3 linked regions of the Drosophila melanogaster genome follow. Changing the gene in region 3 together with the main gene of any one other region gives a genetic interaction. Each region holds a gene or a part of one and is shown on either strand. Other genes may lie near its edges.

The links. A genetic interaction does not mean that the proteins touch.
Region 1: of brat (region 3) and Men, changing one suppresses a phenotype caused by changing the other (phenotypic suppression), as found in Drosophila melanogaster (one study listed by BioGRID).
Region 2: of brat (region 3) and ct, changing one suppresses a phenotype caused by changing the other (phenotypic suppression), as found in Drosophila melanogaster (one study listed by BioGRID).

The regions. Positions count from the first base shown.
Region 1 is NT_033777.3:12,717,460-12,725,088, forward strand, and holds the start of Men (malic enzyme), read right to left. Parts: upstream 4,984-7,629; 5' UTR 4,739-4,983; coding exon 4,677-4,738; intron 3,326-4,676; exon of another isoform or gene 3,208-3,325; coding exon of another isoform or gene 3,158-3,207; intron 2,569-3,157; coding exon 1,944-2,568; intron 1-1,943.
Region 2 is NC_004354.4:7,606,423-7,614,130, reverse strand, and holds the start of ct (cut), read right to left. Parts: upstream 4,984-7,708; 5' UTR 4,716-4,983; coding exon 4,593-4,715; intron 1-4,592. UniProt on the Drosophila melanogaster protein: Regulator of cell fate decisions in multiple lineages. Specifically, functions as a determination factor that specifies sensory organ identity in precursor cells. Probably also involved in cell type specification of Malpighian tubules.
Region 3 is NT_033779.5:19,132,154-19,139,738, reverse strand, and holds the start of brat (brain tumor), read right to left. Parts: upstream 5,918-7,585; 5' UTR 5,463-5,917; intron 4,810-5,462; coding exon of another isoform or gene 4,759-4,809; exon of another isoform or gene 4,506-4,758; intron 1-4,505. Other genes in the region: Polr1D (RNA polymerase I and III subunit D), read left to right, coding at 4,759-4,809, 5,918-5,965, 6,388-6,687; DCTN6-p27 (dynactin 6, p27 subunit), read right to left, coding at 6,715-7,255, 7,323-7,339. UniProt on the Drosophila melanogaster protein: A NHL-domain family protein that functions as a translational repressor to inhibit cell proliferation.

The sequences.
Region 1 (7,629 bases), on a different chromosome or scaffold from region 3:
GAAAACATAAATTCCAACCTATATATGTAAGCTATTTCAAAGCATTTCAGCCATTAATTGCAATTGACAAGCACACTATTATATATTATTCTTTCTTTAGTTGCCCAATATAAGCAATCGATAAATCATTGGGTAAACAATGAAATAATCCAACTATTTCAACAAGTTTCGAGCTCGCCCCGCTCTTTCGGCACATTGACCGCCTGAATTTGTTTAAATTTTTAATTTCCTCAGAGCGCCAATAAATAACAACAAAGAGCAGGGGAATATAATTCTATTCGCCAACTGCATGTGGTGTGAGCAAACCACACAGATAAATATTTAATGTGTGTATATACATATATAGGGCTGATACCAAGTGTTTTTGTGGTGATTATCGTCATTCGGTTGTTTATTTCTGCGGTTCGAAACAGAGTTAAATTTATTGCTGAATGTAGGTCAGTTTTCGCGGACTGGCTTTAATTTTGTTTCTTATTTTTTTCATTGGAGATAGGCACTCGAAAACTTTCCATGGGTAAATCAAAACAAAGCTCAGCTGTTCGGGGAAGGAGGTTGAGATAAACAAGAGTCACTTGTTGGCAGCGTGTAAGAAGTACATAATAACAATCTGTAGTAAACAAGTGCCAGCCCCTACTCGATAAGGAAACCCAAGATAATTTCTCGCTAAATTGTTAAATTATTATTTTTAAGTCTTTTCGTCCGATTGTGCCGTGACGTAAGCGGGAAAAAAATCCACTTGGTTGTCATGGGGAAACACCATTCTGGATGGCCCTCCATTATTCTCAGTGGAGCTTCTGTTTACAATGCCAAATGGTTGGCCCCTTTTGGTCAGTTTTTTTTTTTAGTAGCTACACGGGGGAAAATAATGTCTTTACTAGAAATTACGTAATTTCTTTAGATTCCTAGCATTTTAAATTGTAATATCCGTTCTAACCATTACCACCTTTACATTAAAACTCTGTTTTTTCAGTGCAACTGTTTTAAATAAACAAACGCAAAGCCCATGCGCGCTCTCTCTTCTCTCTTTCAAAAATGCTCTCTAATTTTATATTTTGTGAAACAATTCGTGCATTAGCTCATTCATGTCTGCGTGGGAAAAAAGCGTAGAAGCCAATGCAAGCTGAAAAACTGCACAAGCATTGAACTTGAAAATGCAATCTGAGATAAATTTGTAAACGAAATCTGCGTGACCGATTCGTGTCAACTATTTCATACCGTACAATTTCGGCATGTGCCACAGACAGCTAATTGCCTCAATTATAAAAGTTGGTCTATCGATTTTCTTCGGCTAAGGCACCAGAAAAAAAATGAAAAAAAGCAACAAAAAAAACTGACAAAAACAATGAGCTTTGGTCTTCCAGAGTGGCGCGTGTGCCATTTGCCATCCCTTTCACTCGCTATGTCATCTAAAGGTCACCCACACCACTTGCCGAAAAATGAAGCCACTGCCAAAAAGTATCTTTTTTTCGCTCTGAACTCAGCAGCTGACGTTTCCGCCTAATAGTTATTTATGTATTTATGATTTGGAATTTTTTTATTCTCGTGCTTGTGGTAAAAATAGCAGGTGGCCTAGAATAAATTCACACTTTTTCAAGAAGAAATTCCAACATTGGAACTCACTTCTAGCGAAATTTCACATAATTAACGATTATTAGTAAATATCTTTCAGATACATATGGATGGCTAAGGTAAGTTCTAAGGTAAGGCTTAAGTTCTTCAAATTCTAGACCAATTAAACTTCTTCTAATAGTCTATAATTATGACTCTACCTCTAAATATTTACCCAAACACGGTTCACTAACACAATTCGCCGATATGGGGAGCGGAAAAAAAAACCGAATGCGAACCCACCCTTAAAAACCTTTGCCTGGTATTTTTCCACTAAGTTCACGGAACTGGGCAACTTAAAAGCGTATTCGCATATTCCTACTTGTGGAACTCACCTTTGAGTAGCGCTTGTCCAAGAGTCGGGTGAATCCGGAGAGGCTGCCGACCACCTCATTGTCACCAGTGCCCCAAAGGCCCAGGCGATCGCGCTGCGCGTATTTATCTAGTTTCGAATCGGGTTTGCTCATCTTGTCTTCCAAATTTGTTTCGCTAGTGGAGCTGTATGAACGTAGTTGCTGTTGTTGTTGCTGTTGCTGGTGGTGAAGGGCGTGCAAACTGCTCTGCAGCTGATTCCAGTGGTGTCGCGAGGATAACGATAACGGCAGACCCTTGGGCAGTTCCAAATCGGTGGCTAAGGCTATATTACCCGGATTCGAATCTCTGTCCCTATGCGTTTCCGTATCCGTATGCGGCGATGTGTCCACTTCGGCGGCACTTTGCGTTGTGATTCGTGTCGTTAGTTTTGCGAAATTGGAAAGTTCGTATTCGAGTGTGGTTGTCGTTGTGGTCGTATGATTTTTACACACACGACTACTACAACAGCTCTGACTCTCTCTCTCATGGCTATTGTTGTTGTTGCTGTTGCTGTTTCTCTTCGTGTAACAGCCGAGCTCGCGCTCTTTGCCGCGACTATATGAGGAAGGACTCTGCGAATTGTTGGCGGTGGGATAAACCGGCGTGCTGAGGGAGAGAGAGAGAGCAGACAATATGTGAATGAATGTCAATGCGGGAGTGACAATAACAACCAATTCGTCACCAACATTCGGATACTCTTTCTGAAAGAACCGATGTTAACATTTTTAATTGAATTTTAATCGTACACACTCCACGTTCCCACACTAACAATTGTTAATAATATATATATTACATTTTAATAGTATATATATCTTATTTGAATAGTATATTATATAACAGTATATAATAATATATGAATTTCACCATAAAAAGCTTTTTGTAATAGCCAAAAAGTCGTAGAGCAATAAAATGGTATTTAGGGTTAAAAGAGGCCCTTAAAGGGTGGGTACTCTTCGTTTCAGATTCCTTATCAAGGTTTTCAGAACCTTTGAAATGCGCTGATATGTTTGAACGTATGTGCATGGTCATATGATGAGGCGATGCATCGCAGACACGCCTTCCAGATGGAAACCGATAAGTGGTGCCAAAGTGACACTGATTATTGCCAATTCAGAAACACACCCTCTTGATCTGTGGTCCAATCGTATGACACCACATTATACTTGTTATTCTGAAATTCTTGCATTCGACTCACGGTCCAAAAGTTTTTCTGATACCAGAACAGCGTCGTAGGATCGAGTACATGGCGGTGCTCTTAAAAGTCTTCTATATTATATACTTATTAGTATATTGATTTGCCGACAATTATCTCACTGAGTATTTGACTTTTGTCTGCGTTGCTGCAGCTTTCGTGCTGAACTGAACCGCAGTATTCGATTTGTTTTGCTACCACCATATGTATACACTTTGCGATTTTGTTTTGTTTCCGCGCTCTTTGGCTCTTTCTCTCCGATTAGTTTCAGTTGTGTGGGGTATATCAGCTGACTGATAAGGGCGGTGCAAACACTATCTGCACATATAAACGCCATTAAACAACGATTATTACCATCAAATCATTTGTCTGGGACCTGGAAAACATTGCGATGCGGCGTGAATAGCATGCGAAAAGTTTCCGTGAGAACAGCAGCGGTCGAAATAATAGTATTCAAATTAGACTATAGAGTATTGCAGTTAGCAATTTCTTATCTACTATTATTTATAATCAGTAGCTTTGATTTTAATGTAAACTTAAGTACAACGTGCGTGCATTACTTGAATTAAATAAACCGAACCTTTTCTATTAGAGATTATTAGACTCGATGGCGTTAAATATAAACCAATAATACCTCCTGAACTTGTGGCATCTGACTAAGTATAAATTATTTAAAGAGACGCCTCAAGGTAGAAGCCCCAAACCCCAACCTTAACCTTCAGTGTCCCGAATCGCTTCAGTTCCCGCCCCACTTTGCACTTGACTCACTCATACGACCGGTGGGCCCGTTCCGCTTTTGCTCGGATGTCTGTTTGATATATTCAATTATTACACAAAAATTGAAAGTAAAACACGGCAGGCGAATAAATTGGAATATATCACACATGTTTGTGTGTGTGCCCGAGCAACCTTCATAAATATTAACAATTTACTTCAGCTTTGCCAACGAATTACATTTTCCAAGTACCTTCGTGAGCAAAACACACCTGTCGCTCTAACTTTTTTTTTTCTTTTTACTTCGAAAATCGTTAATTAAGAAGGTGGTGCTCTAATTTTTTATCGATGGCGTGTGTCAGAAGTTATTCTTTTTTATCGCAACGCCGACGAGTCGCCTGTAAATCGTTGATAAAACACTAGTAAAACGAATCATTGACCACTAATGACACCTCGAGAAACAAATTATTGGAGGGGCGGGGCTGAGGGCGGTGGCTTGGCTTGCATTTGCACAAGAAAAAACTTGTAGTTGCAGGAAAGGATCTACTTAAATATATTAAGTATCGAAACAAAAAATGTTAAGAATTTGTAATGGTTTTTTATAAATAACTTTTTTATGTAAAATATAATTTCCTAATCTTTCAGTTATTAGTTTTTAGTAACAATAAAAATAAACAAATTAATTACAAACATGTTTGCGCATTAGTAAACACAAACTCTTTGGCCAACTCTCGCATTTTCGAAATCCTCTTTTGCCAATCGCTTGAGTTCAGCTTCAGTTTGTTCACTTTTCCATTTCATTTCTTACCCATTTTCATCGAAATTTGTTATGACATTGCGATCGGCGCAAATGGAACTGGAATTACCCATTTTGGGTTCTAAATTTCAGTTAAATTAGCTCCAGTTAAATAGTTATAGTTAATTATTTGGTAAACGCAAAACTTGTGAACTTTTCTAACGCGAAAATTAACTCAGTTCGCTTGACCACGCGATGTTTCACCGGAATTATTAAAAACAGTTATTAACAAAAATTAAAAAAAGTGTATTTTGAGCTATTGCGCTTGACTTAGCAACTCCGAACCGCCTGAAACTGAATCAAAAACTGAACTCGCGCTGAAATCGCGGCTCTGCGAACACCGGAGGCAACTTGCTAGCAGCGGGCGGCCCAAAGGAGAAGGAGAAGGAGAGTGTCCGGTGCTGCCCTCCCGCTCGCACCCGCACGCAGGCAGCACGCGACATTTGCTCCACTGAGTCACTTTGGTAGGCCCAGACGGCTACAGTGGCCCCTCGCTAAAAAGGATGAAATCTAAAATGCATTTTTAATAGGTTTTTAGTTTATTTCTTATATAAAAATCAATAACTTTAAACACTATTTAACGTTGATATTAGGTAATCTGCTGTTTTATTTAACTATAATTTGTAAATTTTTATGCTTTACAAAAGGACTATACAAAAATGGGTTTGTTTGTATTCTCTTTTTAATTTTAATCTAGCAAGACTTTCATTTCGGGGTTTCACCGTATTTGATTAATCGTTGCAGCCTTAGAGAAGCTTTGGCGCTGAGTTGTACTTCACTTGGAGTCACACAAAACCTGAGCGGTTGGTTAATCGCAGTGACCTCTGGGCGGCACACACAAATGCATGAAGCAATTTGTTGCTGGCCAATTAAAAAATAATAATTTCAGCTTTCAAAGAAGGCAACTCGATTGCTGACCATCGCGTCCCAGTCGGCTGCACTTGGCAAGTGGCGAAGAAAAATTTATAAATCCAATGAATTCCGGGTCATTTCAAATGCACTGAGTTGAAACGATGGGGAAGGGGACTCGGTAGTCGGTGTGGTGGATCCTTAGGCTTTTTTCGCCTTTTGACTCTGATTTTATCACCTAATGATTTTACCGCTGTTTCATTTGTCGCCTGGGTGGCACTCGAATTTTAATTAGATTTGCTTTATTGCACTGCTGTCTGTTGAAATCATAATATATATTGCACTAATGTTCAAAGATCTTGTTCAATTGTGCAAATATGACACACATTAATTACTGGGTTTGGTTTGCTATATCGAATTTATTGTTGAAGTGTCGGCTTGTGTTTACTGTCTAAAATTTGCGAAAGTGTCGTATGAAAAGTTGCAACACGATTTCAATTGCTGCCAGGGTCAATTGTAATTTCAGTTAAGTCAGTAAAAAAAAACCATACGGCGGAATCGTGGCTGCATTAATATTGGTATTATCGACATATACGAGAAAATTGTTGGATTATTGAAGTAAAGTGTGCATATAAAACTAACAAAGAATGTCGCTATACCATTATTAACTTATCTACATATGTATTTTAAAAACCACAGATAACATCGTAGTTTGTTAAAATTTCGATTCATTCTATCTAGTTCATACAATAGTGACCACGAAAGTATCTTAAGGAGGCCAACAATAACAATGATTATACAAGCGAAACTCCAAAAAATACTAAAAACCACTCCGAATGGAAATTTCCAGTTAGAAATTTTTATAATTTATATTTTTTTAAATTCGTTTAACAGAACCATAAAACCTAGCATTGCAAAACATTACTGATAAGTGATAGTTCGCTTAAAATATAATAGATGGCGCTATCGTTAAGCTCTAGATTTGGCCGTTAATTTTAGGCGCTACTGTTAATGTAATAAAAGCTTAAAAGCTTTGTTTGCGTTGGAGTGTTCATAAATAATAACAGATGGCGCCAGCTGCAGTTCTGAAAACGACCGTTATTTATCTATGATTAACGGTTTCTTTTGTATTATACAAATACAAATAATAATAATAATTGTAACAATAACACCTTTTGTTATGAATTACATTATTTCACCATAAATTGGTGGGTCAATTTAGGAATGCATGTTTGTAACCTGCGTTAGAAAATAAAATCAATGACCAATTGATAGTTTGCCATTTTATAATACAACACTCAAACCGCGCGATTGCTATTTTAGAGGTGTGTCAGCTGATTTTCCGAGTCCAGTGCTTTTCACATGCTCAGTTCAACCATGTTTTGCACATATTGCTTTTTCAACTTTTTGCCATTGCAATTTAATAACAACGTGATGAGGGGAGATCCAACGACGTGCAACAAGCAACAAGGCAATTGAGGGCCACTTTTATCATCAAATGATTTTACCCAGCTAAGCCAGCGCAATTTCCACGAAGTTGCATGTGACGGGGATAACACTGAGAAAATAACATAAAAAATCAACATGGGTATTAAGTTACCATATAGCAGATATAGTGGTTTTCTTTTTTAAGGATGTTTTCACATAGAAAGGCTTCCGTTTTTAGTAAGTTTTAAGAGAACCGAAGAACGTGCTGGAATAAATTTCCCAGTGTAAACAAACACAAGGATAGTAGTGAGTGTGTGTGTAGCGATTGCAAAAAAATGCAATTGGTGGATGGCAGTTGGGTGTGTGGGAGCGAAACGGTAATCTATCATAATTTTTATATCCTAAAATCCCATTTTCGTATTAGGGCAAAAATGTCTGAGAGCAAATATAATAAAATGGCCAACACATCGACTTGGCCACCCAGCCGGAAGGTACAAAGGACGCTGGAGAGGAGCTCGCACATTTATGCTCCTTGTCAAAGGATAACACACTCACACTTCTGCCAAGCCAACAGTATGAAATTCCAGCCATCCGCTTGATTTTTCTCTATTTTTTCGATGCGCTCCCCCCACATTTTCCATCTCATTCTTCGCCCGACCATCTGTCTCTTTCTATTTCCCTTTGCTGG
Region 2 (7,708 bases), on a different chromosome or scaffold from region 3:
TCAAATTGATGGCGAGACACACATGAGAAACCTGAAATTAAAAACTCATAAGATATCGACTGATATATTGAGCTGCACAAATTACTGACAACTGAAAGATGAAAGAGGCATCAGCGCACACACAAAAAAAAAAAAACAAAGGCAAAGATTTTCAAGACAGGTTTGCCATCCTTTCCCCTTTTTTCCGCTCCACAATCGTTTTTGGTTTGGCTTTTTTTTTCCTATGTCCCTCCGATGTGTATATGTATGTACATACGATATATATATATATATATATGCATATAAAAAGACAATTAGTTGTTATTAAGTTGTACACAAAAGCCGTCGAATCTTTTCTTTTCCGCTGATGCCACTGCCGCTTCTTCATTTTTGGCATCGCCAGCTTTTGTAAGACGGTTCGGTTCGTTCGTCTAGATGCGGAATTAATGATGCAATGACAATTGATGCACACCACGCAAAGCGCATTTAGCATTTATGATATTTATGCTCAATTAGTGTCGCTGTTTGCCGTGTGGCGATTTAGCTGGAGATCCATTCCCCGATCCCCTCCCATTTTCCCACTTATATGATAGTGTGAAGTTTCAGTTTGATTTGATGGCAGCAAGCTGAGTTACATCAGGTTAGCTGAAAGACGACTAATATGTACATATGTACTTATTTTAGTGCTTACTATGAGTATATAAAGTATCAGGGTGGTTTAATAGGTATTTATTCGTTTGATAACCACAAGCTGATCTCCTTGCGATTTAGATTGGCGTATTGGTTTTAAAAAATGCCCAAACACACAACCCACATACTTTGAAAAGCCCACTTTAGTGCTGTGTAAAATTTCAATTGATTAAGATGACTGCAAGCTGAGTTACTTCAGGTCATTGCATAGCTCGATGCTTTATTCGATTGAAAATCAGCTAATTACGGCCTAAACATATCAGATGGGAAATTTGAAGTGCGTTTGATGGTTAGTTAGTTCCCAAGTTACATGAGGACACTCCATTCGACCGGCTTCAATTAGCTTCAATGGCTATTCATAATTAATGCCATAAACCGGAAAGAGAGGGAAATAGCAAATAATCATAATAAAAATTGATCGAGCACACACAGATACAGATACACATATGTTGGCATAGACGGACGGGACGGACACACATAGTTCATGAACTCAATTTTTAATAATAATTTCCAAATGATTTTTTATTTCACATTATTAGTTGCGTGGTAGTTCAGATCGAGTTCGAGTTCTCGGGTTCAGATCGCCATCTCCACCCACCCACCACAAGCTTTTAATTGTTCGATTTTCATTTCGATTCGTCTCGTTTCGTTTCGTTCGGTTCGTATAGTATAGTATAGTATGGTATAGTATAGTATCGTTTCGATTCGTTCGTCGCATTTTGTTATAGATACTATGTATGTGTACCGATGTGGATGTGATGGACATTTCGGTTTCTGTTTTTGCTGCTGCTGCTGCCGATGCCGCTTCTGTTTTAATTTCCGTGCTGACAAATTAATTTAATTATATTAACATATCTTTCCAGCGATCGAACGATTGAACTGACTGAAATATTTTCATATACCATGCGTGTGTGTCTACATACATATGTATGCATCTGTGTGCTGTGTGGGTGGTTGAATTCGGTCTGTGATTCTTGGTATAACCCCTTTTTCAAACACCCCCCCCCCCCCATTCATCCACGTTTCGGTTTCTGTGACTCATTAGCTGGCTTCTCTGCCAGAGAGCGAGTAAATTGCACTTAAAACGCTAAAAATTATACGACACACGCCGCCGCTCAGTCCACCGATCTGATCTCTATCTGTATACTGTATCTGGCAATATGGTATCTATGGTTTGGTATAGCATGGTATGATATCGTATATGTGTACAAGGTATCCGTGTGCTTCCAAGGGCTTAAGGGACAACCCTTGGCTGCTCATTTTCGGCATATGCAAATGCCGGGACGCCATCTTTGAAAATTAAACTTTATAAACTATCAATGCTCGTCCCCGGTATTCCGCATTTCGTATTTTATATCCGTATCTGCATCTGTGATGGTGCTATGGTGGTGGTGACTACCCTATAAACCGGTTTCAATTCGATTAAAACGGAACCCAAACTCGATTTACTCTCATCTTTTCAATTCAACTTTTCTATTTTTTTTTTTTTAATATTTTTTAAGTCAGCAAATGCATTTGGCAATTAGTTCGGTTTTGTTGTCTTTCCATTTCCATCTTTTTTTTTTCTAGTTTGAATCAGCACAAATCAATGACAAAAACCTCATCTTTCATCTAGTTTTCGGTTTATGGTTTTTCGGATTTCGGTAATTGTAGAAGCTAAACAAAAAATCTGTTCGATGTTAATGGGTCAAGTTTATAGATTGCATTACGGAAATTAATTTTGCTCTTTTTAACTTTTGGTTCTTCTTTGGCTTCTGCTTTTTGTTCTTGCACTTGTTTTTTTTTTCAATTTTTTGTGATCGTTTTTTCGGTGCCACCGTTCTATATATTTAATGACAAAACTTTGTGTTAATCAAGCACATTTTTATTGTTGCTTTTTCGAATTCGATTTGTGTCAATTTTTTCGCGCGCGCTCTGTTCTTGAAATGTAAATAAATAAATAAGTGAAATACTATAAAAATTGTTTTATCAACTCATTTGGACAGCTGTAGACGTCTGTCTGCGGTTTGTTTAATTTATTTAATAAGCTTCTATTTTTGGTTGGCAAATTTAGTTATGTTGAATAACCTTTTTTTCTGCCGCAGAGAAATGGTATTTATGGATCGAGTTCTAATTTTGTTTTGTTGATCAGCATGCGAAGGCATGACGAAACCTTTCAAATATTGATTCATTGATCACAATCGATCATTGGTTGAGGGATCTTGAAAGTTATAGAAGACTTGAAGCTTTTGAAAGCCATTAAATGATCGTTAGGAAAGAGGAAAAAAGAACCCAAAACAGTGGCGCCTTTAGATGGGGTTTTGTGTTTTCGTTTAGGCCGCCAACACTATGCTCTATCACTATGTACATATCTAACATTTAAATATAACAAGCAAATGCATTTAATTAAATAAAAACCGGTTCTATTTGAGATCAGCAAAGCCCCATTCATAAAATCCTGTGTACACCACTGACTTCAAGTAATCCTAACGAGTTCTGCGGCTTCTCATCTTTTTGCCTTTGTTGTGGTTCTCCGGAAAAAGTCGATAGGATAGCTTTTGGTTTTGCTTATTTAAGTTTTATTGATTGCAGTTTGCATCGCCATATCTTGTACAAAAATATTTGTGGAGCGGGAAAAAACGCCATTCACCGACGGCAAATGTCTAGATTTTCCGGGAATTTTTCCATGTCTGTCTTTCACTGTGCGCGTCTCTCGCTTTTCACGATCAATCGAAGAAGAAACTCCAATTAAAAAATTTGCCCGGCTGTCGACGCAACCTAATTAACTTGCCAAACCATATAGAGAGTATTTTTATATATAGAAATATTCAAAAATATATACAGCAGTTGATATTTCCATGTCTGGTCTGGCAGATGATTTTCTTTTCCCCTTTTTGGCCTCTAATGTTATTTTGCCGCCTTATTTGTTCGGAGTCTGGCATTTGGCCAGCGAAATTCTCAGCATCGTCTGGCCCCCGCCTCCCGATTTTCCACGCCCCCTTTTACAGCGAAACCCCCATCTGAATTGTCTCTTCCGTCTGGCCGATCTTGTCTGGCTTTATCTTTTTCGGTTCACTGGTAGTAGAAAACAGAAAAAAAAACGCTTCAAAAAAAAAAAAAGTTATTCAAGCAATAAACTGTTCACTTATTACTTGCTTGTTGCACTTTGCATTTGTTGTTTTTGTTTTGTGCAAACAAATTTTTTTTCAGAAATCAATAATAGCAGAAAAAATAAATAAATTTACAACAAGAAATTAGACAACAATAACGGGCCAGCAACAATAAAAACACATTTGCCATAGACACGCAAACTCAATTAGTTAACTTAAGTTAAGTTAAGCAGTTTGCGGGGCCAAAATATGGGGGCTGTGTGGGGTTAAAGTGGGCGGCTGGGCGCACTAGGGTTATTGTTGTCAGCTGTGGGAGTTTCCAGTGAAATGCAACGAATATCACAGAACTCGGGAACTATTCACTGTTTAGTTACAATGATAATTGCAAATTTGTATATGACTTTTTAGTCTAATCAATGTATGGAAAGTTCTAATTTTAGCTTATAACGTTTTAAAGGCTTTCGGGCTTTTCGCGTTACGCTCCCTAAACTTTTCACTTTGAATACACAATACTGTATGAATCGAATTCATTTCATTCATATAAAGTTAGAAAACGCAAGTATCAAATTTTATGCTACATATAACAGGTGTAATTTCATCTTTTTGTTGACAAAAATAAGATACACCTTGCATGTAATATAAACGTAAGACTGTTTGTCAATGCGAATAAAAGTGAGAACAGAAGATAAAACACTTTTGCACCGAACATTTTACGAACCCGTAATCTCAGCTTGTTTGGCCAATTCATTGAACTATATTCATATTATTATTCTTGAAACACGAAACTTCTTGCTTTTAAGCACCGTTTTCCATCGTTTTGCTAACTTTTCTTACCTGTTGCCAAAACTGTGCCAATAAATAAATTTGCTCCTTTTTGAAAAACCAATCGTTGATTGATTGAACAGCCGTCAGATCCATATCGGCTGTCCCAGCGGCTTGTGGCAATGTTGGCTGCATTCGTGGGCTTTCTTGGGTTAATTCAATAATTCTCAGTCAGTTTTTGCTTAGGTTTTTTTGGGGTTTTCAGTTTTTGGATTCTACCAATTTGGGGCTAATAAGGCCTGGCATTATTCTGTTCTGTTGTCGTTTCGATTTTACTTGTTAGTTAGTTGTTATTTAATTCGGTTTTCGTTTTTAGTCATCACATTTACACCTTAAGTAGTATGTTTCTTGTTACGTGCTCAAAAAAATGCATAAATAAGCCAATTTCTGTGTGTTATTATTATTATTATTATGGTTATGTTATGTTTTATATTTTGTTCACTTTAGTTCCGAAAAAGAATTTTTTTTGATTTTTTTGGAAGGGGGTTTCTTCTTGTTGTTGTGTGGGGGATTTTGTTGTAGTCGTTTGTTGAATGGTGAGGGTATGATGTTGTTGTTTTGGTTGTTGCCTGTTGTTGTTGTGTGTGTGATTTTTTCAAGCCATTATCATTATGTTGTTGCTTTTTGGCTGTGGCTTATTTTGCACATGTTTGCTGTCGCTGTTGTTGCTTTTGATGTTGCTGTTGTTGTTTACACTTGACACTCATACACGCGCACATATTTTAGCGAACAAAAATGCACTTGAAAAAAATAATAAACAGTTATATTATACGTTCGTTTAGTCCTTTTTGATTTGTTTGGCTGTGTGCTGTTTTGTTTATAAATATGATCAATACGTTTCTTCTTCTTGGCAAGCGAGATTCATTCTTTTGCAATTATTTTTTTATGAATTTTTTGTATGAAGTGGGTGGGGGGATTCTTCTGCACACACACACACACGACGTACACACACAGTGAGAGAGAGGGGCACACACGCACACACACCCGCGCCGCGGCTAAGAAGAAGAAGCTGCACTGCCTTGTGGGGCAGTAGAATCCAAAAATCTTCTGAAATTCTCGATTTCTTTCGGCGACGGACGAACGAAACGACGTTGCCAGTCACGAATGCTGTTGATGACTGAACAAATCGAACGTTAACGAAGCGCCGACAACCCTCTGCCGCAGAGAGCGCCGACAGCGGCGTTGGCAGCGACAGAGGCGCCACAAACACACAACACACTCATGCAGCGCAACTCTCTCGCTCGCTCTCTCACGCTCCGCGCAAGAGAATCTCACTCAATTCCCGTGCACTGCTTTTGATTTCTTTCAATAGCTTTTTGATTTTCTCACTTTTTTTGCGCTTTCCTTCTCGGCTTTTTTTTTTACTCTTATTTTTGAGCATTTTTCTGCGCCGTCGCATGTCAGTTGCATGTATTGAAATTCATTCATTCACAGACACTTTGGCTAGTGCCCTCCCGCTCGCACATCGCTTTTCTTATTGGAAACGAAAGAGCCAGGCGCTCGCCTCTCTCCACTACTGCTTGTTGTTGTTGCTTATTGAGCGCAGGATTGAGTGCAACGTCGACTGTGACGCTGGCGGAGGGATTGAGATTGAGGATATTTCGGAAAGTTGTAATATTTTTTGGCTTTAGGGGGATTTACCTGGAATTCAAGTATTATTCTGAAACTGATAAGTTTTAAAGTTAAGAACTAAAGAACTAAAAGTTCCACGAGATAAGTCTTAGAATTAAAAGCAGCTGCTATATTCATCAAATGTTCGAACATAGTAAACAATAGTAGAAAGTGATGGAAATAAAAAAGTAAATACGAAGTGTAAATTAAGCTAAATGCAACAAACAATTCTATGTTTTGTTGTTTAATTTAATTTTTATGTTTTTTTTTAGAGGTAAATGTAACATTTAGAAACAATCTGTCCTTTCCAAATTTCCGCCACTTTATGATGCACCTTAAATTGCATTCCTAACTTAAGTCCCTTGGCTGGCTGTCTCTGTTCGGCTCTTCAAAAATCCATGGAATATTAAATTGGAGAGTAAGCCCCTTCTCAGCCTCCCGTTATTTTGTGTTTTTCCGCAAACCCCTGGAATTTGCAGTCCCGTTGCGGGATTTTCGCATAAAGAAAAGTTCAAATTGTATCGAAGCGCCAAGTGCAATGCAGACGCCCCCGACCCCCTTGGTATTCTCACTCCCTATTTTTCTACTAAACCCCATGATTTCTGCTGGGCGGGGAGGGGCGATGTGGTTGGGATTTTCCAAGGGGTTATGGCTTACACCTAAACTGAGACTGAGAACCCAAGTCGCAGTCGCAGATGCGTTGCTGCAGTCTGAGAGGAAAATCGGTTGAAAAGCGGTTAGGATTTGGGTGGAAAATTGTTGGTAAATGGGGTGTACGGGGAATATTGGGGGCTTGGATCTGCTCGGGGACTTCGTCGTCGGCTTGCAAAATAACGAAAATAACGGGAGAGCCGAGAGAAAGGGCAGCGCCAACTACACGAAGACAAAAAACGATGCTCGGTTCCGCCGTCGGCGTCGAAAAATGTACTCACCCCGAAAAAAATACTCATTTCATTTTATTGCTCCTAGTTTACCCCCAACTGCCAACCCACCCACAAAGGTGAGGGAATTTAGCCACACATTATTGGGGAAACCAATAAGGGATTTTTATATAATTTCGTTAATACATACATTATGCCATTATATACAAAAATGCAATATACAAGTATTCAATATATGGTTCTTACAAATTTAAAAAAATTATCACTGCATGTTATAATTATCATGAAAAAAAATGACTGATGAAATTCGTAAAAGTAATGAAGTACAAAGAAAGATTCGTTCTTAAAAATGACAAGACGAGAAATATTAAAATATACATACATACTATGCAATATTACAAATTATAAGTGCATTGAAGACCCCTACAAATCGCCCATATAGAAACAAGTGTCCGCCAACCAGCAGAATTCCAACTGGATTAAAAACGGCGGAATTCAAGAAACCACTCAATCCAAATACTCACAAGATATTCACTCACTCGCTCTCCTGTCTTTGAGTCGAAAATGCAAGGGGTTCGAACTCGTTTTCGAAATACTTTCGAACTTCCATCAAGACATCCAACTTATTAAAAGTTG
Region 3 (7,585 bases):
GAAAACAAAGACAGAACGGCTACGGAAACTGAGTAACCAACCGGTCGTTCTCTCCAATCATTCAACTAAAACCCATCAATCTGTACAGAGGAACCACACCCAAAATAACCTCGCGGGGGCGGAGGCAATAAAATCATTTTATGTCCATACCCCCAAAGGTAAAATAACACTAAAACAAAAGCTCGCGAGCGGTAGTGCTCTCTACACAGAGTGCAATTAAAGGTGCTTCTTGATTTTTATGCCGCCATAAACTTGCAATCGAAGATCCAGCAGCGTAATCAGGAAAAAGGGGAAATAATTGGGGACTCCAATTTGGCAATGCCTTCACTTGTTACTTGTATGTTTTATTATGCGAGAAATGGGTGTAAAACCCTAATATACCAAGTGAAAATGTTAAAAATTAAATAAGTCAACTGTCTTTATATTAATCTCAATCTCAAATTAATTTAAATATACTTTAAAACTTGCGCTTGGCTTAGCTCCCTGTAATATTTCCTTACTGTGTACAGCAGTTTGCACATTTTAATATATAGAATCGTAAAAAATAATAAATACAACAAAATTCATAAAACCCCCCCCGATAAAGGTGTTCTCCAACGACGGCAGGGCGTTGAATGCGCCGCATCCATTCCACCCTCAAATTCCATTCAGCATATGAAAATCAAATCAGCGAGGGTTGCCATTGTACTATGCAAACAAACAGATGTGCGTGTGAGGGGGACCAAAGCGTGTGTGTATGTGAGTGCTTGTGCTCTTTAGGGAATGGGGGAGGGTAGTTGGGTTGGTTTGGTTTGGTTTGATGTGGCATGGGGGTGCTGCTTTGGCTGGGGCGGTCTTCCGTCTGTCTGGGGTCAATGCACAAAAATGCGTAGAACGTGCTGGTGTCCGCCGATTTCAGCAGGGGTTTTTGGCTTGAGCTCTGCTGGAAAATCGTTCACTTTTCGCACTCACCAACACACGAACCCGAACGCCCGCACGCACACAACCAGGCACCCAGACACACACACACACACGCACTGATGCTGGGGGCTGGCCCAAAAGTTTGTTGACCCCAACGCGAACAGACAGCAATGCGTAGTCGCATATATATTGCGTACAGTGAGCGCCCGCCCGCCGCTTTGGATTGATTTTCAAAGGTGATTAGCCCTTGATATTGGATTCATTCGACTTGCGACTCAAAAGATTGAAAATCCATTCAAACGCATTTGCTGCCCAACGAATAATTACCAATTATTTGGAATATACTTAATATTAATATTAATCATTATATTTCAAATTCAAGTCTAACTATTGAATGTTATTCAAATCGAATATGTTTAACTTCCAAACTTTGAACCAATGTCACACTTAGCATGTATTTGGTATTAACTATGTGCTCCTCTACTCCTAGTTACCACTGTTGTATTGGGAGTTCCTGTATTTCGGGGTAAGATGCGTTCCCCTTTTCTTCGCCGTCGGCCCAGGAGGGTTGATTAGCACCCACCCCACCCATCCGCCCGACCAAGCGAGCGCAGACCTTGAGCCGCCTTCCAACCCAACCTTTCTCCCCGGGCATTAATAATATGGCTGACATGACTATTTATTTATTTGCAAGACACTTTCCCTAATGTTACGGCCGAGGGGTGGGTGGCCAGACGACGGAGGTCCCACCCACCCGGAAAAGGATCAAAGTCAGGAGCATACGACACGCCGTCGCAAGTTCTACATACATTCATATACGTATTTATGTATGTAAGTGGAAACCAACCCTGCCAAAAAAATAAGCCACAACCGGGGGAAAAATGCAAGTTGGACAGAATGAAAAAAGTGAAATAAAGTAAAATGAAATGAAAGCGGCAGCTGTAAAGTTCGACAATAAAAGCGGGAAGCAGCAGGGCGAAAAGGGAAAAAGTGAAACGAAAATGAAACGAAACTAGGCACAGGACATCCACACACACACACACACACACACGGGGGATGCGGTGCGAGTCCTTTGAGGAACCGAGCAGCAACCACCACCACCGAAACAACATCAACAACATCAACTTGAACTCCCCATCCGCAATATGGGCGATGGCAACGGCAACAGACGGCATCGGACACATTTTACGGCTGCCCTACGGCGTATTATGCAAATCCCTCCAAGCGTATTGTGAAAAAAAAAATGCTCAAATAATGCACGAATAAAACATGCATTTCAATTGCGAAAACCACAAGGATGTCTGGGTGGCTTACAGCGCCATTTCCCTTTCAATTCACCTGAAACTAAAGGCCGGAAATCAAGAGCCACTCTCTTTTCGAATTTTGCTGGCTTAAATGTTCCCGGAAGCAGCGGATGTCGAGATTTAGGTAACTTAGTTGAAGGATTCGCTATTCTAAGCCAACATCATAGACTTTAGGCTTATAATCCATGTAGCTTTAATAATCAATAATTAGAACTATTTTTCACACAATATGTGGAATATACAATACATATGTACATACATGTATCATGTATATGTACATACATATGACAACTAAATGATCTACGGTTTGTTATTATATCCTCCTAAAATATGGCTAAATTTCGATACCCGACACAACGAAGACCAAAAACAAGGAAACCCGAACAAAGGCGAAACAAGAGAAAAATGCATGTGAGGTTTTTGTTTGTTTTATGTCTCTCTGCCGGCGTCGCTGCTGCTGCGTCTGGGCAGCGATCACGCACACATAGAGAAGCACACAGAAGAAGGAGGGAGAGAGGAGGGGACTCAGCGCAGCTTCCTTTTGACTGGCTCTTCTTACAGAGGAAAAAATGATGTGGCTGTAAGTATCACTTGTTCCTATAGATCTTAAATGTGCAACCAAGTGATTGTGTGTTATTTAGTATTGGCATTGTTGTAAAATTTATTACATCACAAATTATCAAATAAATTTATTAATGCACTGATTAACAGTAATGGTACTAAACTCGAACCTATTAATCAAATATTGCACTTTTCGGCTTAAAAATTTGTCCTGTTGTGTAGTTACTTTACTTGGTTTTTATGTTGATTTTGGGAATTCTAAAAATGCTTGCAGCTTCATCCTTCTGCGTCTCTGTCTCCTTCTCTTCTCCTCGATTCCCCCCACCCCCTATTCGTGGCCCGCATCGAATGCAGCAGATGACAGGTTTTCGCTCTCCTCCGCCCCCTGCTTTGCTGTGCTCTCCGGCTTTATGGCGCTCCCCACCTCCTTCGTGACTCGCTGCACAGGATGTTGGAATATCACGTCGTCGTGTCCGTGTTCCCGTCTGTTCCTTGTTCTCGTGCTCTTCGTCTTCGTCTTGTGCCATTGCCACTTCACCTTTTTTGTCTGCATTCGAGCTAAAGGGGCTCCCCTTTAGCCCCTTCTTCACCTCAGCTACTCCTTCCACTTCCTTTCGCTCCAAAACTGTCTGTGTATTTTATTTTATTTCGTTTCGTTTGGCTTTCGATGTCTGCAGCATCCTTGGAACTTTCTGGCACAGTGGGCCCAACAAAAATATTGCATGCACCATTGATAAATATAGATAAATGATCGAAAGAACACACCATTGCTATGTTTACTGACAGAATTATTTTCAAAAACTCGTTAAGCATTTATTAATTTACCAATAGAATCGGTAAAAACCTTAGTACCATTATACATAGAATTTTTGTTTTAAAATTCAATTTATAACCTGTCCTTGTCAAGTCAGCACACTGTGTCTACATCGTGGACAGGTATTTTGTACCTCAAGTGGATTATTTGCAATATTCATGGCACAAGGTGGAATATACACCACCCTTGGGAGGACTTAAAATTTCGGGCTCCCCCTCTTTTATAATTTATTTTCACGTGCGCAGCTATACACAAAAAATACTTTTGTATTTTGAATTAATATAATTTTAAAATGGTCTACCGTACTGCATCCTTTTTCTATGCGTTTATTACTTTCTACTAGTTTTCGTTTATTATACGTTGAAAAGATATATTACACACGAGGTGGTGAATTGTTTACGAATCAGCTTCGCGAGTAAATGCTAGGGAAGTTATTTTCTCTATGTACAGGCCATAGATCGCTGTTGCTATGTACATATGTATGTATGAATGTATATATTAGGTTGTGTTTACATACATATTTACATGGGCCCTCTGGATCGTATTCCCAGAACCATTTCGCACTTCTCTTTTTCGTATTCTCCCTTTTTGCCACGATCGTGACGGTTATATGCAGTTCCTTTGTTGTAACCACTACAAAGCCAAAATAATTGCAAACTCAAAAGAAACCCATAAAAGCAAGAATAGAGTTAGCCCAGGAGAGAGAGCAGCCACTTTTTTCGGCCAGGAGAGAGCAGCTGCCTCGCTCTCACTCACACACGAGCCACAAAAACGCCGGCTCTCAATACATACATATATACATACTTAAACTGCAGGCCATGTAAAAACAAAAACAACAAGGCAAAAGGGCGCCCAGCATAATGGGGGAAACGAAATGGAAGAGGAACGCAGCCTAGACTAAATTGCAACAACTGCAAATTGGGGGGAACGCATGGCGCCAAACGAAACGTGAGACAGACTCGCGCGCACTGCCATACATACACGAAAAGTGATTATTACAACACAAGCGCTGCGGCGCGTGGGCGCGAGGAGGGGGAACGCATGAGATAACGGAACATGCTGCCGCATTAGTCACCACCAAAGCACAACAGATGTGTGTACATGTGTGTGTGTCAGCTACCACCGAACAAATGAGTGCAAAGGAGTTAGCAGGATGCCGAGAAGGAAGCGGAGAGAGGAATGGCAAGGGGCAGGGGAGAAGAGCATAGCAACCAGTGGAAACAAAATACAGTGAGTATTGGCTAAGAGCTATTGGGTATCTTTGCAATAAAGTGTTGCATACCCTAGGGAGAAAAATATTTATAAAAATCTTATTGGATTAAAAAACCATACATATTAACGAAATTAAATAAAAAATATTTTTAAAATTTTACTGGAAACTACGTAAGATCATATTTGATTGTATTCAACCTTTTGGTTATATGCATATAAATCGTAAAGTACATGTTAAGAAACCGAATACTGTTATTCTCGTAATTGGTAATTGAAGATGCAGACTGCGAACGTGAATGCAAAGTGCCAATTAGGAAATTTAACAATTTGGAAATAAAAGTCTACATTATTGGCAATAACTAACGAAAAGCAGAACAGGAGGCACAGTAACGAACAAGATAAAGCTTTAGTTGAGCCTCTGAACTGGTATTTTTTAGCCATCACTTCCGCCTTCGCGGGCAACAGCGTCGACGGCACGGCGGCAGAGGCAGCTGCCTGTTTGCAGCTGTGTGCGTGCACAAAAATAAAAGGGCGCATGAATTTGCATAATTTTCGGAACCAGATGGGGGGCGTGGCCGTCAACAAAATTGAAATGACAACTCGAGCTTTTCAATACCGCTTATTTATGTATGCGATGTTATTAATAAGCACATGGTGGGCATTAAACAAACCTGTATTGCAGTCAATTCCTGATGGAAACGGCGAAAAAGCATGTAAAATGAATTGCCGATTCGTCGTTGTATGCGTTTTTCCCGAGTGTCGGTGTTTTTGGAGCAACTTCACGTTGAATGCATTGCGCAAATAATTATGTTTGCCGTTGCAGTTTTTTTGTTTTTGTTTTCTTCGCTCCGCTTCGCCTCTCTGCTTCTTTCCTTGCCGCCTTTTCTGCTGATGCTTTCAAACAAACCAACACTCACACACGTATGCAGAAGGCGGCTTGCAATTATGCTAATGCGGCTGTTTGCGACACTTTTTCTTCTTTTTTTTGGCCGACACCGCACAAAACTGATTTCGCAGTTGGCCCAATAAAATTGGCCACAGAACAAAGCGAATTAAGAAGCAACACACACAATTCAATGCTCTGTCTGAAAACCGCGTCCGTGTCAGAACGCGTCAAGAACTGGAGCTGGTGGAGACATCGGCGCGCTATCGATACATCGATGACGTTACCACGGTATTTATGCATTTACTTAGAAGTAACTCATTTGATTTTCAAGAATTAAAGTCAATGTTGGTATGACACTTGGCACAAGCAAACAGTAGGAATGTTTCAGAAGACATACTCTTTTATACATACACAACTTAAATTTAACAGTTTTTTCGGGAAGATATGGCTAAGTTTTACTTAAATTCAAAATGGGATAGGCATCTCTAGTTTTTAGCTACATTGCATTCCAATTGGAATAAGCCGTCCTTAGCTACTTAAATCGATATGTTTCGATGACTCTAACATCGATTGCCGAGGCATGTGCCCTGCACGTTTTTTGTAAACAAACGAACGAGTATTTGAACAAACTGAAAATGGGAGCATTGGCAGAGGTAGACAATGCATTAAATATGCAATGTGAGTAATTAATTCTTAAATACTTTCCCCAGCTGGCTGGTGATGAGAAAAACGGCGAAGGATCTCGTACTTTTGTGTTCACCAACGAGGGCCACACGCTGGGAAATGCGCTGAAAACGATCATAGCCCGCTACCCGGAGGTGGATTTCTGTGGCTACACGATTCCGCATCCCACGGAGCAGAAGCTGCACTTCCGCATTCAATCCCGTCGAGACAGAGCCATAGATATACTTAAACGGGGACTGGAGGATCTGGAGGGTCTGTGTGATCATACAATCGTTACGTTCGAAAAGGAGATGGCCGAGTTTAATGCAATGAAAGTGGAAAATTAGATATATATGTATAAAGAATACTTAAAACTAAACCACGCTGCGCGCCTTCTTGGGATCGTAGTTGGGCTTGCGTAGATGATGATAGTTTGGCAGGACCTTGCGCAGGAAGTCGATCTGCAGGGTCTGCGATCCCTGCTTGTCGATGGCCTCGCGCTGCAGGCCCTGCTCTCCATAAACAATCGTGTTTTCGGGCAGGCGTTGACTACCATGGATCTTTATTCCAGCTCCCACCACACAACCGCTGGAAACAGTGACACCGGGGCCCACATAGCACTTGCTCTCGAAGACGTTCTTATCGCCAATCTTGGCCGCTTCCACTTGGCAGCCGACTTCAAAGACATTGTGAGTGCCAATGCTCAGGATATTGTTGACATCCCAAACGGCGCCCGGCTCCAAGCGGTGAGCTACGGTGGCATATTCCTCTATGATGCAATTCTCCCCAATTATTATGGGACCTGCGTCGGCGATAACGGTGGCACTCGGATGAACCACACAGCCCGACGAGAAGGTGATGTCACCGCGCAGGCTGCTCTCCTCGCAGACCACCGCCTTGGGTAGGATTTTGATTCTGTTGAGTGGCAATAGTATAGCTGCATTTCGTAAATTAGTTTTGCAAGTACTTATGCTGCAATCACCTGTTTTCCGAGGGCATTTTCTGTTTTCTTAAATTGTTTACGTTTTCTCACGAAGGTGAGAAGGAATTTATATTTATCGATAATAAATGAGGGCTTGCAAATGAGGCGATATATTATAGCCAGATTTAGTTACTTTAAAATATCGGAAAGGTAAAAATAATGATTAAAGACCTTTGCATAAAAAAACCAGATATAACAATAATGACGTCGAACTTTATTGCTCAAAAACCAAAATAATGTTGAATACTCATTTATAAACAATA